Arabidopsis thaliana: one gene and its partner. The protein of the gene in region 2 interacts with the protein of the main gene of each other region in a pairwise test. Each region holds a gene or a part of one and is shown on either strand. Other genes may lie near its edges.

Region 1 (5,126 bases), on a different chromosome or scaffold from region 2:
ATTACAGGGAAGGTGATTCTGGAATCTGTGATTTTGACCGCTGTTGTGGTCATATCCCTCACTCTATACACTTTCTGGGCGGCCAAAAGAGGCCATGACTTCAACTTCCTCGGACCTTTCTTGTTCGGTGCTGTCATTGTCCTCATGGTGTTTTCCTTCATCCAGGTATCAATATCGCTCACAAGGCTTCAATGTTCTCTTCTTCCACAATAAGAGCTTAAATACTATCTTTATTGCTGCAGATTCTCTTCCCTTTAGGAAAGATCTCTGTGATGATCTATGGTTGTTTGGCATCCATCATCTTCTGTGGCTACATTGTATATGATACCGACAACTTGATCAAGAGGCACTCCTATGACGAGTACATCTGGGCTGCTGTTTCTCTTTATTTGGATGTCATTAATCTCTTCCTATCTCTCCTCACTCTCTTAAGGGCTGTTGATAGTTAGGCAGTCTTGTCTCTTTCAGATTGCTCTTAAGACTGTGCCATTGTTATCTAGTTCATATGTTCAAATTCTTTTGTCTGCAAAAGGAAATTTGGGTTGTAAAGAAATGTTGATCACTGCTTGTAACATGATAGGAGAATCCAATACATTTGTACTTGTGAAGGTTGTTGTTAGCTTTAGAAGTCATCTCTGTTCACTCAATTGAATAAAAGGATATTACAAAAGGGAATGTCTTCTACTCCATTATGTTTAAACCTATTCTTATCATAAGCAGTTCGTTCTACAAAGCATCTACTTCTTTCCTAGCTTATGTTGTTAAGGTGCCATCCATTTGGACATGGAACTTTTCTGCTTCTTCTCAGCAGCAATGGCAAGTAGCCTGGATACGCCCTGAGTCCATATCTCGTATTCCCTTTGGTTTCTGCACTCAAATTCAATGACCCTCTTTGTTTCTGTCTTTAAGCCAAAGTAGTGATGCTTGTCTCCGTTGAAAAGATCTCTGCCAGCCCATGCAGGTATATCCTTTCTCACTTCAAGCACCATATCTGCAACACAAGTCCAAATCAAAGACTATTATGACTTGTATTATCTATCTAGCTTTACTTTAAAAGCCAGGCTAGTGTAAGAGATGAAATGTTTGTGCTGAGAAGAACCTACGTTTCTTCTTCTTTGTGAAGGTCCCTCCAACGTGTTTACTTTTCATTTTCAGCACAGCTTGGCCTGCTTTGTTGATGTAGACAGAGACAATCTTCCAGTGGAGTTCACCTGCTTTCAAAATTCAAGGTCAGCGACCCTTGCTTTTTACTTGGCTTACAAATCATTTATACGGGTGTAGCTTTGGAGTACCTCCACGAGTTCGTTTGAGGAGCTCAGTGCCTTTAGCTAGTAATTCCTGGTTACAGACGCCAAGGAAGTCTTCCCCAGCCACAGGTAATTCTCCACTAAAGCTGCTATCACTATGCTTTGTGTCAACCTGTCCACACAACGCTGAACTTGCCCCTTTCTCGGCTGGCAATACTGCAGCTATGTTCCATACTTCCTTAAGCGCTCTTGCCTTGAGTGTAGCTGCTCCTCGCAGAGCTGCAAAAGAAAAGGGGGTGAATTCAGGTATGGAATCTCTACAGAAGTAAGGGTGACTACGTTTTAATGCAGTACCTGTTGCAGCAGCTGCAGTAAGGGTGACAATATCGTCATGGGACTTAACATTCACGGCAGAGCTCACCACGGATGTCAAATGATCCCTATCTGCTCCCATGATTTCTGCAGCCTCCACACACTGAGCAGCCACCAGAGCAGCCGCTGAAGCCATGGCCATATCGATTCTGGCCATCTGCTCGTTCTTACCAGGGGAAGAAGCTGCTGTGGCTGCTGCTACAGCTGCCACAGCAGATGCAACCGCTGCAACAGAAACAGCTGCGTGAACCTGTGCATTCTGAGTCCTAGTCTCTTCTTTCTTCTTTTCCTTACGGTCCTTGAGCCACCTACCAACTGTCTTTGGACCGGTTCCAGCCATGGGGGTATTGCTCCCATTTCCGGTGGTACCACGGCTGCCTCCTGTGCCGGAGAAGAGAGGATGTATGGTGTTGTGGGTGCGAAAATACTGCATTAGGATTGGTTTATTAGATAGGCTGACTTAATGAAAAATCCAACAAGTTGATGGCATTATATTGGACTACAAAAAGCAAATAAAGGATTAATGAACTGCTTGGAAATGGAGGTAAAGTGACTGCTCGCTCTAAAAGCATTTACCGATAACTTTCTTAAAATGAGCCAACCAAAGAGGAGCTCTAGGCGTTACCGTAACATTCCTATTCCTGTGTCCAACCAATTATGTCTTTAATCTTTTATGAACTCCAATTCATCAAGTAAATGCAGTAGAGACAGAGCATTCAATGGAAGAAAAAAAAGAAAACATTGAAACTGCATTACTATCAATCTATCGCTTTAATGATCGCCGACCAGCTTTATAAGTCCCAAGACCCAGAAGGCTAAACCTTGCAGCACTTCCTTAAAATTATGTATGGCAACGACCCAATTTAAGGAGACCTTCTACCAACTAAAGATTGGTCATATGAATGAACAAGAAACAAAAAAAAACAATGTAGTTTTTTTGTGGGTGAAATGAATGAGAGAGGTTAAAGTAAACAAACACAGGTTGTAAAGTGGAGAGTCAAAGTCAAATCTGTTTCTGTCTGCTGCCTCTGCTTTTCTTTTGACTCATAATTTTTGTTTACTTTGCTAACAAACTCTAAAGTATGGCGGAGACTTACGTTCTAAGAAAAAGGATAAACCAAGGATAAACCTAGGAAGGAAGGATTAGAGAGATAGTATAAGGGAAGAAGTACCTTGATGACGTCGTCGAATTCATCGGAAGGGGAGATAGGAGGACTGTCTGTCTCCGTAAAAGAACCGCCGCCGTTGAGTGGGCCGCTGCTGTGTGATAGCCTCCCCGACGTTAACGGTGACACCTCCTTCATTTTTCAAAACAGAATAAACTCATCATCAAGATACAAAAACAGAGTGTGTCGGTCGGTCCATAACTATGTAACCGTACCGATTGAGACATTATGCGCTCAAGAACAAGCTGTGAAGTGGCCGAGGCAGCGAACGAGAACTGGCTACTAACACTAGTACTGTTCTCCGGCGGACATTCTTCTTTCTCAGGGTTTAGCGTTTCTTCCGGTATCGGAGTGTTAATGGATGAGGGAGGCCTGTTGGTGGCTGAAGCTGATTTGGCGGTGTGGAGAGCTCTGGAGACTTCCAAGGCAGAGACACTCCAGGATCTAGACAAGAACTCCATTGGGCCTCGTGGGCTTTCCGGTAGTTGAGTACTACTACCGCCTGAAGAAAATATCTCCGGCCGGCGAGAGCTGTTGATTGGGTTCGGTCGTCTGAGTTCTCTCTCCATCCTTTCTCTCTCTCTGTAATTAACTTTGCTTCGACTTCAGAGCTTGACTAGGAAACTTATGTGTGTGTATATATATAGATAGACAAAGTAACGTTTAGGTATTTCACCTTTTCTTTTTCTTTTAAAGAAATATGTGATTATATTTCGATGAGAGTAGGAGTGAGTAGTACTACTCTTGACATAATATATAGTCGTTGCATAAATAATGGATTACTACTATACAAAACAAAGACGTCGCTTTTCAATAATAAGGCCGCATCTTTGCCAATCCCATTTTTTATTACACATAAATATTACTTTAGATGTATGTATCAACGAGTCTTGAGAAAAAGGAGGGAATCAAGTCATCCTTGTATTTGCCTTTTCTTAATTTAATCAGAAACATTAGGATAGCTTGACTAGTCAGTCATAGGTTATCAGACATTTATGTTTCAATTGACCAAAAAAGAAAGGAAAAGAAGGTTGAATTTGCGTTTAGAGTGTCTTGTTTAAACCAATCAAACAACTTGGTTTATTGTTGTGGATCATGGTTAAACTAACGGATTAGGTGCTGAAATTTGGTGTGAGAAAATGGGAGGAAGAGAAAGATGAGAATAAAGGAATGAAACGACTGTGTATGATGATCAGTCAGTCTCTTAATTTGGTCCCTTCTGCTTCGGTTTTGAAACACAAAGCTGCGACCTTTGCGTACATTCACACATGCTGCTGCCTTGGCGTGCTTTCCCTTACGTCACCTTCTTCTCTCTGTCTCTTTTCCACTTCAATGACACAAAACTTGGCAATTAGTTTATTCATCCATCCAAGGTTTTCTTCAGGCTACACAATCAAAACTTCTGATCTTCTTTCATCTTTGTACAAATTAACATGATTGTTGATCTATATTCTTTGGTACTAGAGCATTTTGATATATATAAAAACGCATATATAAGATATTTCAAAATCTCATCATGTGTATCTATATTAAATTTATTTGCACTTTGGAAACTATAGGTGGGTGACCACTGAATAAAGATACATCCTTTATTCCCTTTTGCTCTGTCTAATTTTTAGGGATACCCACATTTTCCATTCTTTATAACCAATCCCTTAGAAAAATACTAGTCATTTTGTCTCTCTGATTATTCCTTTGCCTTGCAATCATTGTTCTTGTTTGGACGTTTTGTATTTTATACTACCAATTAAAAATTGAATGTATCTGCCACTTTGAATGATGAACCCTCTTTTCCATTTTATTGTTTCTTTAAACTACTTTTAGTTTTTAGGTACCATCTTCTTTTGCTTTTGATTTGCTTACAATAGACACCTACATACCTACACCATATCCGTTTCTATTCTTAGATTAGGGTTTTGAAACCGAGGTCACTTTCGATGCAAAAAGCACCTCTTTAGGTCAAAGCAAGCATCTTCGAAGGGACAAAGTTTGAAACTTTGTTTTGAATTCACAAAAGAAAAGACTTGCGAGCTAAACCCTGTTGTCGGTTTGATCTACACGTACAAAAAACCATTCATGAAAAAAAACTATAAATCAAAAGTGTCAAAGAAAAGATGATTGATTCCCTAAAGGAATCAATCTGTGTGTAGGGAGAGAGGCAGCTTTTACTTTAATAACACCACTTTTGTCTTAATGCGACGCTTGAAAGCAAACAAAGAGATGTAAGTTTGGAACAGCAACAGGGGAGACACAACAGGAACATAAACTGAGTCACAGAGAGAGACTAAAGAAGAGCAACCACAACCAAAAAGCATGTTTGAAAGGGAGAGCTTTTGACTGT
Region 2 (7,671 bases):
TTGTGCAGCTGATTGTGGGAAATCGCTGTCTCTTGATCTCCGAACAAATAACTTCTCCGCATACTGTGGAATGACAAAAAAAAAAAAAGTTTGAATGAGCTTTCCTGAACATTGCCTATGACCGAGCAACGAGAGAATGCCTCGAAAGTAAATATTTTCTACATGCTCAATGAATATTTGAAGGAACAACATACTGGGAAGAAATAAGCACGCCCTCGAGAAGAAAAATAGCTTCATTTATCTCCAACATAAGGAATCAAATAAAGGGTAGAAGCTTAAAAACCTTAGCTTGTATATACTTCTCCTTGATAGATATCATATCAGCATAGCTGGGTTTTCCAGTGACCATCACCCTGGATTTATCAGACCTGCACATATTTGGCAGAGTAATTTTAACATTATGATTTCTAGGTGATCAAAGTTATCATCACTTTCAAACATAAATGGAGTTTTACACTGTTAAGCCGGGGTCAAAATGGATGGCGCTCCTTGAATGAAGCAATTCCTCCCAAACTGTGTTTGCGAAAGTATTTCCAAGAGCTTGGAACAAACTTATAACAGATGGCTCCCATACTTTCACGTCGAGAGTGAGTGACCTAACCTGTAGCAACAGCCAACTTCAGATTGCTGTATAACTTATGTCAAATTGAAGGCCGAGCCATCCAAAGTTCAAATTCTATCACATGCTCTATAATCTGAATTGCTATTGAATATAAGCCTAGTGTCACTTCAAAATTCTCATGGACTTCTTTACGTCCTTCCATAAGTTGGTTGTTATAGAGCCTACATATATTTTCTAAGCAATTAAGAGTTCTGGAGATTTTTTACCTTAGATATATGCACACCAAGATTACGGTGAACACCAGAACATTCGATACAGACAAGAACCCCCAGATTTAAAGAAGCCCAGTCTGGTTCTGGAGCTCCACAATCCGCACATTTGTCATTCCCACAGACCTTTCGAAGAGCATCAATGGGCTTCTCACCCTTTCTAATGGACCGTTGCGGCTGAAAACTTCTTGATGGCCTTTCATTGTACCCCAAAAAGCTCCTCTCACATACAAATTCTTCAGTAGTAGGATGATCATATTCAGAACTTTCATATGAGCTACTTTCACTAGCAGATCGATGGTGGCCACTTCCCATGGGACTACCAGGAAGACGCTGAAATGTAGCCGATGGACAATCACCAAAGTTGCATTGGTATTTAATATGAGCCTGGTCAGGTAAAGGAATAATGATAATACTTACCTGTTCAGGGACCTGAGAACTAAGTAGTGATGCAATAACCCCAGTGATCTTTTCTATCCAATCCATTTGATCGAGTGCACTCTCAGCCTGCACTGACAAACATAAGTAAACACTGAGTGAAAACTATTAAACTTGGGCAAACATGTATACAATAAAGTTTTAAGGCAGTAACAAACACTCTGAATCAAACCTGCAACGTGTAGTTTTTTGTAGGTGATATGATCCTAAAGCAAAACCTCAGATCTGATTGATCAGCGTCGACTTTAATTGTTGAGGTGAGTAAGTTCACTGTATGACGAGCTACAGACTTCTCATCATGGACACCACCATGTCCATGATTATTCGAAGAAAGCCACCTACTAAGCAGTCCAGACCCAAGCTCGGAGCTATTTCTCTGTCCAGAAAGCTGGCTTCCAGACCCCTAAACATCAAATAATCTAAGTCAGAGTGTGAAAAGAATGGGTCAAATAGATTTTTACTTTATGAACACCATACCGTTTGCATAATTCTGCTGTTTTCAAATAAAAGATAAATATAAAACCAAAACTCACAGATGGTTTGCTACACTGTTTTCGGTAATAATAGAGCATTCCCCGGCTGTCAAGAACAAAAAACCTTCTTTTCCAGTCTCCTCTCAGGTTTGAAGATCGTTTAGAGAGATAACCTTGCCTTATTGTTTGCACCTGAAAGCACCAAGAAATGTTAATAGTACTCTCTGGAAGATGTATCAATCATATGTTAAAGACGTTGATCAACCTTTCCTCTTGCAGCAGATTGCATTACGGCGTCTATCATTTTGTGAGAGCTTCTACCGATTGCTTGTATGCCATCTCCATTTGGTGATCCATTAGAACCATTTGAACCCCACCTGCTCTCTCGATCAACCTGTCTTTTGTACTCCTGCATCTTTTCATTAAGTGCTGCTTGTTCATAATTTGATCTTTCTCTGGATTGTTGCGCATATGTCAAGACCTACAAAAAAAGAGTTGATGTATAAGTAGTTTTCTAAATGCTACTATCTCCGCGTTTTCAACACATGTGAAGATTCATACATAGTCGTAGAAGAGAATTATACATAAACCCCAAATATTTAGGGATCTATCACTTGAAGAAAAGGAAAATAACATTAAACCGACCTGATTGATATATGGTTCCATCTGATGCAGTAATTCGTAACCCTGAAAGCAACCACGTTTAGATTTGACACAAACCTTTCCAGACTATTTTATAATTCTAAGCAGCATAACAAACTTACCTGTTTGAAGTACCGAAGATGTGCATCCATTGTTCCACTGACTGCTTCCAAAAATTCAAACCTTTTCTTAGCTTCAACATTTGATAGAGCAGTCACCTGAGCATAAATTAGGGAAACCAAATGATTACTTCAACAATACTACGTATGGACAGCAAGTATGTAGATTTGAACACTCAAGATCAAACGATAGAAAATTACAAGGTTGAACCGAGCTTGCTCAAACATAGACCTCGAAGTATGAAGTTCCTGTCAGTGTCAAAATATGTTAGTTACAACATAGAAATAAAAATACATGGTTATCAAAAATCAGAAACGAGCTTTACTAAAATCATGCACCATACCTGTTCTAAAGCAGCAGCAACGTCACTTTTTGTACCTTTCCTCAAAGATAAAAACTTCTCACGGGCCTAAAGCACAATAAGAAGTTAATTAGTTAATCGTCCAGATAAGTGGGAGCCGTGGACCCAATATGCCTCTCTATTTCTATCAGTTATTTTCCAAGCTACAAATGTAGCATGAACAAAAAAACTAGCTAGGTTTCTGCAAATTTATACACTGCCTGCACGGAAACTGCAACACATATCATAACTTTGAAAAAGAGGAACCCTAGCGTTCCTCCATTAACGAGGAATGATTCTAAAATATTTGAGCTCGACCCATTTTGTCTGGTTGAAACTTTTCATACAGATTTACATCTAGTAAAGAAAAGAGTCAGGATGAGAACTTTTAATCTTTCCAAAATATCTTTTGTAGTGCAAACCAAGTCAGCGGAGTGGGGAAAACAAAAATCCTTGACAAAAGGGATACCTGATCGTAGGTAAGGCTAGCCTTGTCAAAGCGCTTCCGAGCTTCCTGTGGCAAAAATGATCTCTCAGGGTTCCATATCCAAATATAACCATGTCATGCTAGCCTACTATAAAAATGGAAAAAGATATATCTGGACAAGCTGACTAGCCACAATGTAAAGGCAGGCTCAAGAAACTTAACCATATTTTCCGCAATCATCAGACCTTATCTACATTAATGACCTCAGAAAATATTCACAATTATATTTTGTTTGGGGAAGGTTGACCACATGAGTGATAATTAGTTCTTTTTTTTAGATTTCTAGTGCTGCAAGTCAAACCAGAAGAACAAGACCTAATGTCCATATTAAATTAAATGCCTCTTGGCAGGTCTTCATATTTTCTCTATTCACACATGCAGAATATTTGTCCTCCATTGTTTAATAGATATTCTAGTCAATACTAATACCTCAATGATGCAAAGTTAACTCAAAACATGTATATCAAGCCAATAATAAAGGAAGCAGCTTGTACCTTAACTTCATGCAAGTCCATATTGGCAAACTGAAGTAATCTGTCATTCAGTATATGTTCCACCTGACAATGGAACTCATCAAAATCAAAACCTGGATTGAAATGACTTGATCTGCTCTAAATCTATATGATGTCTTAAGGTAAAGCAAACTATAAAGAGGCCATTTTTGCTGAAGGAAAACAAAGCTATCCTACGTTGATACCACAGGAGTTATCAGAGAGAAGGCTGGGAATAGGGAGAAACAGAGAGTGTCAAAATAGCAAACTAGCATACCTGTGACCGAAGAACTTCCTTATAAGTCCCAATTTCCCTCAACGCAATTGTAAATTTCGTCATTACCGGTCCTGGCACAGCAAGTTAGAGTTTGTCAGCACTTTTAACAGCAAATTGTTAACATTTCCACCAAAACCAGTGAATCTAACAACCCTAGCAAAGAGAAAGCGAAGAGAAAGAGCGGGAACAACAACTTCCCTCATAATTTAAGGCCACTATCAGTATTTAGTGCTTAAAAACGAAATTATGAATTCTAAAATGGAAAGTGCCAAAGAATCTCAGATGAAAACTGCAAAGATTATGGGAATAAACAGACAATATGCTACTGCGAGTTTCCATATAATCGGTCATACCTCCAAAAGCCACACTTATTGGATCATTATGGCCTCCACCAAATGTTTCAAGTGCACTTGCGAAAGCAATGTCCCCATCGTATGCCTCGCCTAGTCCTTCACTGTAAAAAGAAAGAATAATCTATCGCTGTTAAAAGATACATGTTTCAGCCAGAAGAAAACTCTAAATGTAGAGCTACAATCCTAATTAGCTGTGAAAATTTGAACTAGCATACGTGTATTTCCGGCATCCTTTGTAAAACTTGAGACTTCTTTCCCGCAATATTTCTGCGCTCTCCTCCATGCTTTGTAACTATTTAAGAAAAAGATATCAATGTAAGAACGCAGCTGCGGAAGGAAAAATACATAAACGCAAAGAAAACAGTAAAGACACAATCCAATTATGGAAGAAACTGCAACTATGGATAACCCCAAAGATTGAGTGATTCAGGCACTCTATATAGGGGCAAAAGAATCATCAACTTCAGGCAAACAGAGCAGTTGTTGGACAGAATTTGAGCTACACTAGGAACTTCCTTAGCATTTAAGTTGAGTTAGATAGCAGAAGTCCTACTAAACCAGTGAGCATGAAAGTAGTAGCTAAGTGGACACAAATGTATCCTAAACACACGAATCAGAGACCCAAACAAGTGCACTGGATCATAAGTCATTTCACATTTCATGGAGCAACAAGTTAAAGCGCGAATAGGCCGTCCAGATAAACCAATTTCTTAGTGACACATTAATTCGAACCTTCCAGTGAAGTTCCACTCACATTTTGGAATATAAATGTCGGTGGACATTCAAAATTCCAGACACAACACATCCTAATGGCTCCAAAATTAGTATCTGTTGACAACTTTTGAAGAACAAATCTCGCCTAATATGACCCAATTTTAACCTACGACACTAAAAGACTGGACACATCAAGACAAGCACACATAGACAGGAACCAAAGATATGTAGTAGAAACAAACCTGTTTGCGGAACATGGGAGAGTCATCAAGCTTAGTGAAATGCATTTTGAGCTAATTTATTACTTCCTCTTCTTCGACACAAACAGCAATTAACATAACACGAACACACACACCAAAAACCTAAAAGCTAGAACCACCACTATGTCTCACACAGACGCCATAAACGAACAAAAACGTGAGATCCTCTCCTCCCAAAGCTTCCCCGAAATATCCAACAGAAACAGAAACCGATGATCTTCAAAGTCTCGAGCCAAGCGTAATTTTGAGCTGGTGTTTTTTTCTCGCGAAATCGAGAGAGAACAAAACAAGAAAACAGTGGGGGTGTGTTTTTTAGATGAAGTGTCTCGGGAGAAGAGAAGAGACAGACAAATCAAAGAAAGGAAGAAAAAAAACTTCACCGTCTTTGTGAAAATTTTAACCACAAAAGACGGCGAAACTATGCCGTTTTAGTTACCGCCGGAGATCGTGAAGGTTGGTAAGATACGACGTCGTTTCAAGTGTAAATTTTTTAAAGAGAGGACTGACTGTGCTTTTTCTGTAACAGTGGTCATCTGAGAAAACAAGGACTCTGGCTAAAATCCACTATATCCACGCGCCTTTAAAGCCCGTGTAGTATTAAAGAGGCTGGAAATTAGGAGGCGCGTGTAGTAAACGCGATTCTCTCGAGAGTATTAATAGAGAGGGGAGAGTGGGACCCGTTATCTGGTTGCTTCTCCATTATCTTTTGTTCCGGAGAGACAGAGAGGCCAGTGGGGTATAAATGATTCCTTTTAAGACATGTTTATTTTATTTTATATGAAAATATCTTTAAATATAAAAAATTGAACACTTATGATTACTTTCTTTTGGAAAAAAATTGTTAAAGCAAAAAGAAAAGTGGGAGAAATTTGGAAAAAATGGACACGATGATCTTACTTTCTTTTGCAGACTTTACAGTCGCATATGATTATTAAAATACATTTTCTTGGTTTCAAAATCCTTATTGTTTAATGAAATGTATGATCTCTTGAGTCTTGTCCAGCTAGTTCAATATTGTTTAATCATAACGATAATCGTCTTAAATCTAGGTTAAGATCTTTGTTCAACTGGTAAAACTAAGACATCTGCAATTAAAAACATAATAATGAACATTATGTATTACTATTAACCAACATTTAATATGGTCTTCTAATCAGATTTTCTCACATCAATTTTCTTTCATCTTTCTCACAACATTTATCGTATGTTTTCTCTCTCAAATGATTTCCGACATATGGCTATCAATCTAATGTAACTTAGATCTCTCTTTTCCTTTTTAGACTGTCGCATCTTTCATTTCCTTATTGACCTCAAACGGCCTACGGATACTAAAATCCACTTTAGCACACAACCAAAAAAAAATTAAAAACTGTATAGAGGTAACAGTGACTAGTAGGCCGATATTGGGCCAAGAAGTAGGAAATTCCATTAAGCCAGGCCCATTATAAAATGCCCATTTAAAATTTGTTTTGTTATAGGATCACACGAAAGGCGGTCTATTATTTTGTTCGTTCTTCGTTTATTCACAGCAATCGATTTGTGTGTGTTTCAATTTCTAATAGCTTCACAATGGCATCGTCTGGATCAGCCGACGAAGATTTCCAGTCTCGCGTTGCGAAGATCTTCGGATCTCTACCCTTCTCTCGTCCTTCGTCTTCCAAGTTTTCCACGTCGTCTTCTGCTCCGGCGTCGCGGCAGCAATCGGGGTCGGTGTGGACTCTCTCCGACACAGAGGTAGAGAAGCGGGAGTGGAAGCGAGATTCGTACGATAGAGACGAGATTCCTTGTGCTTCATCCTTTGACGAGCTCTTAAAACAGCAGAAGCCTTCCGAGGATGATCTCAAAGATATTGATTGCGGCGAGGATTTTGATGGTGTGTGGAGTATCAGAGCCTCCATGGGCCTTGATCGCACTCTCGATGACGAGGTAAATCAATTTTGGTCTCTTAACGATTGTTTCTCATTGCTTAGCTAATTGAAATTAGGGAACAGTGTTGGTCTTTTCTCTTGGATTTGGTAGATTCATATGAGAAGAGCATTGAATTTTTAATGTAGTATCATATTGGTTTGTGTGACTTATAGAGTTTTTGTACGTGAATCATCAACCTATGTAACCAGCTTTAAGATTCTTGAATTTGAGTTTTTCTTGCTATAACTATATGTAGCACATACCGTATTATGAATAGGATGTCACTTTCTTTGATGCTGAGTGTTGTTTCCATGAATTATGCTTCTTAACACAGGCA

The links.
Region 1: the proteins of SFC (region 2) and FKD1 interact in binary tests that used the Arabidopsis thaliana proteins (3 or more experiments, as listed by UniProt).

Annotation. Positions count from the first base shown.
Region 1 is NC_003074.8:23,383,261-23,388,386, reverse strand, and holds FKD1 (FORKED 1), read right to left. Parts: upstream 3,400-5,126; 5' UTR 3,355-3,399; coding exon 3,001-3,354; exon of another isoform or gene 2,918-3,000; coding exon 2,792-2,917; intron 2,261-2,791; exon of another isoform or gene 2,053-2,260; coding exon of another isoform or gene 2,047-2,052; coding exon 1,602-2,046; intron 1,527-1,601; coding exon 1,293-1,526; intron 1,212-1,292; coding exon 1,104-1,211; intron 992-1,103; coding exon 762-991; 3' UTR 545-761; downstream 1-544. Other genes in the region: BIL4 (Bax inhibitor-1 family protein), read left to right, coding at 8-165, 243-449.
Region 2 is NC_003076.8:4,256,566-4,264,236, forward strand, and holds the start of SFC (ARF GTPase-activating protein), read right to left. Parts: upstream 6,004-7,671; 5' UTR 5,454-6,003; coding exon 5,409-5,453; intron 4,745-5,408; coding exon 4,668-4,744; intron 4,554-4,667; coding exon 4,453-4,553; intron 4,171-4,452; coding exon 4,100-4,170; intron 3,889-4,099; coding exon 3,826-3,888; intron 3,359-3,825; coding exon 3,314-3,358; intron 2,914-3,313; coding exon 2,848-2,913; intron 2,753-2,847; coding exon 2,705-2,752; intron 2,603-2,704; coding exon 2,507-2,602; intron 2,430-2,506; coding exon 2,388-2,429; intron 2,224-2,387; coding exon 2,008-2,223; intron 1,935-2,007; coding exon 1,803-1,934; intron 1,673-1,802; coding exon 1,442-1,672; intron 1,339-1,441; coding exon 1,252-1,338; intron 1,165-1,251; coding exon 829-1,164; intron 602-828; coding exon 456-601; intron 369-455; coding exon 284-368; intron 64-283; coding exon 1-63. Other genes in the region: AT5G13310 (uncharacterized protein), read left to right, coding at 6,996-7,352, 7,669-7,671. UniProt on the Arabidopsis thaliana protein: GTPase-activating protein (GAP) for ADP ribosylation factor (ARF). Involved in the spatial control of provascular differentiation. Required for the formation of the normal pattern of continuous secondary veins.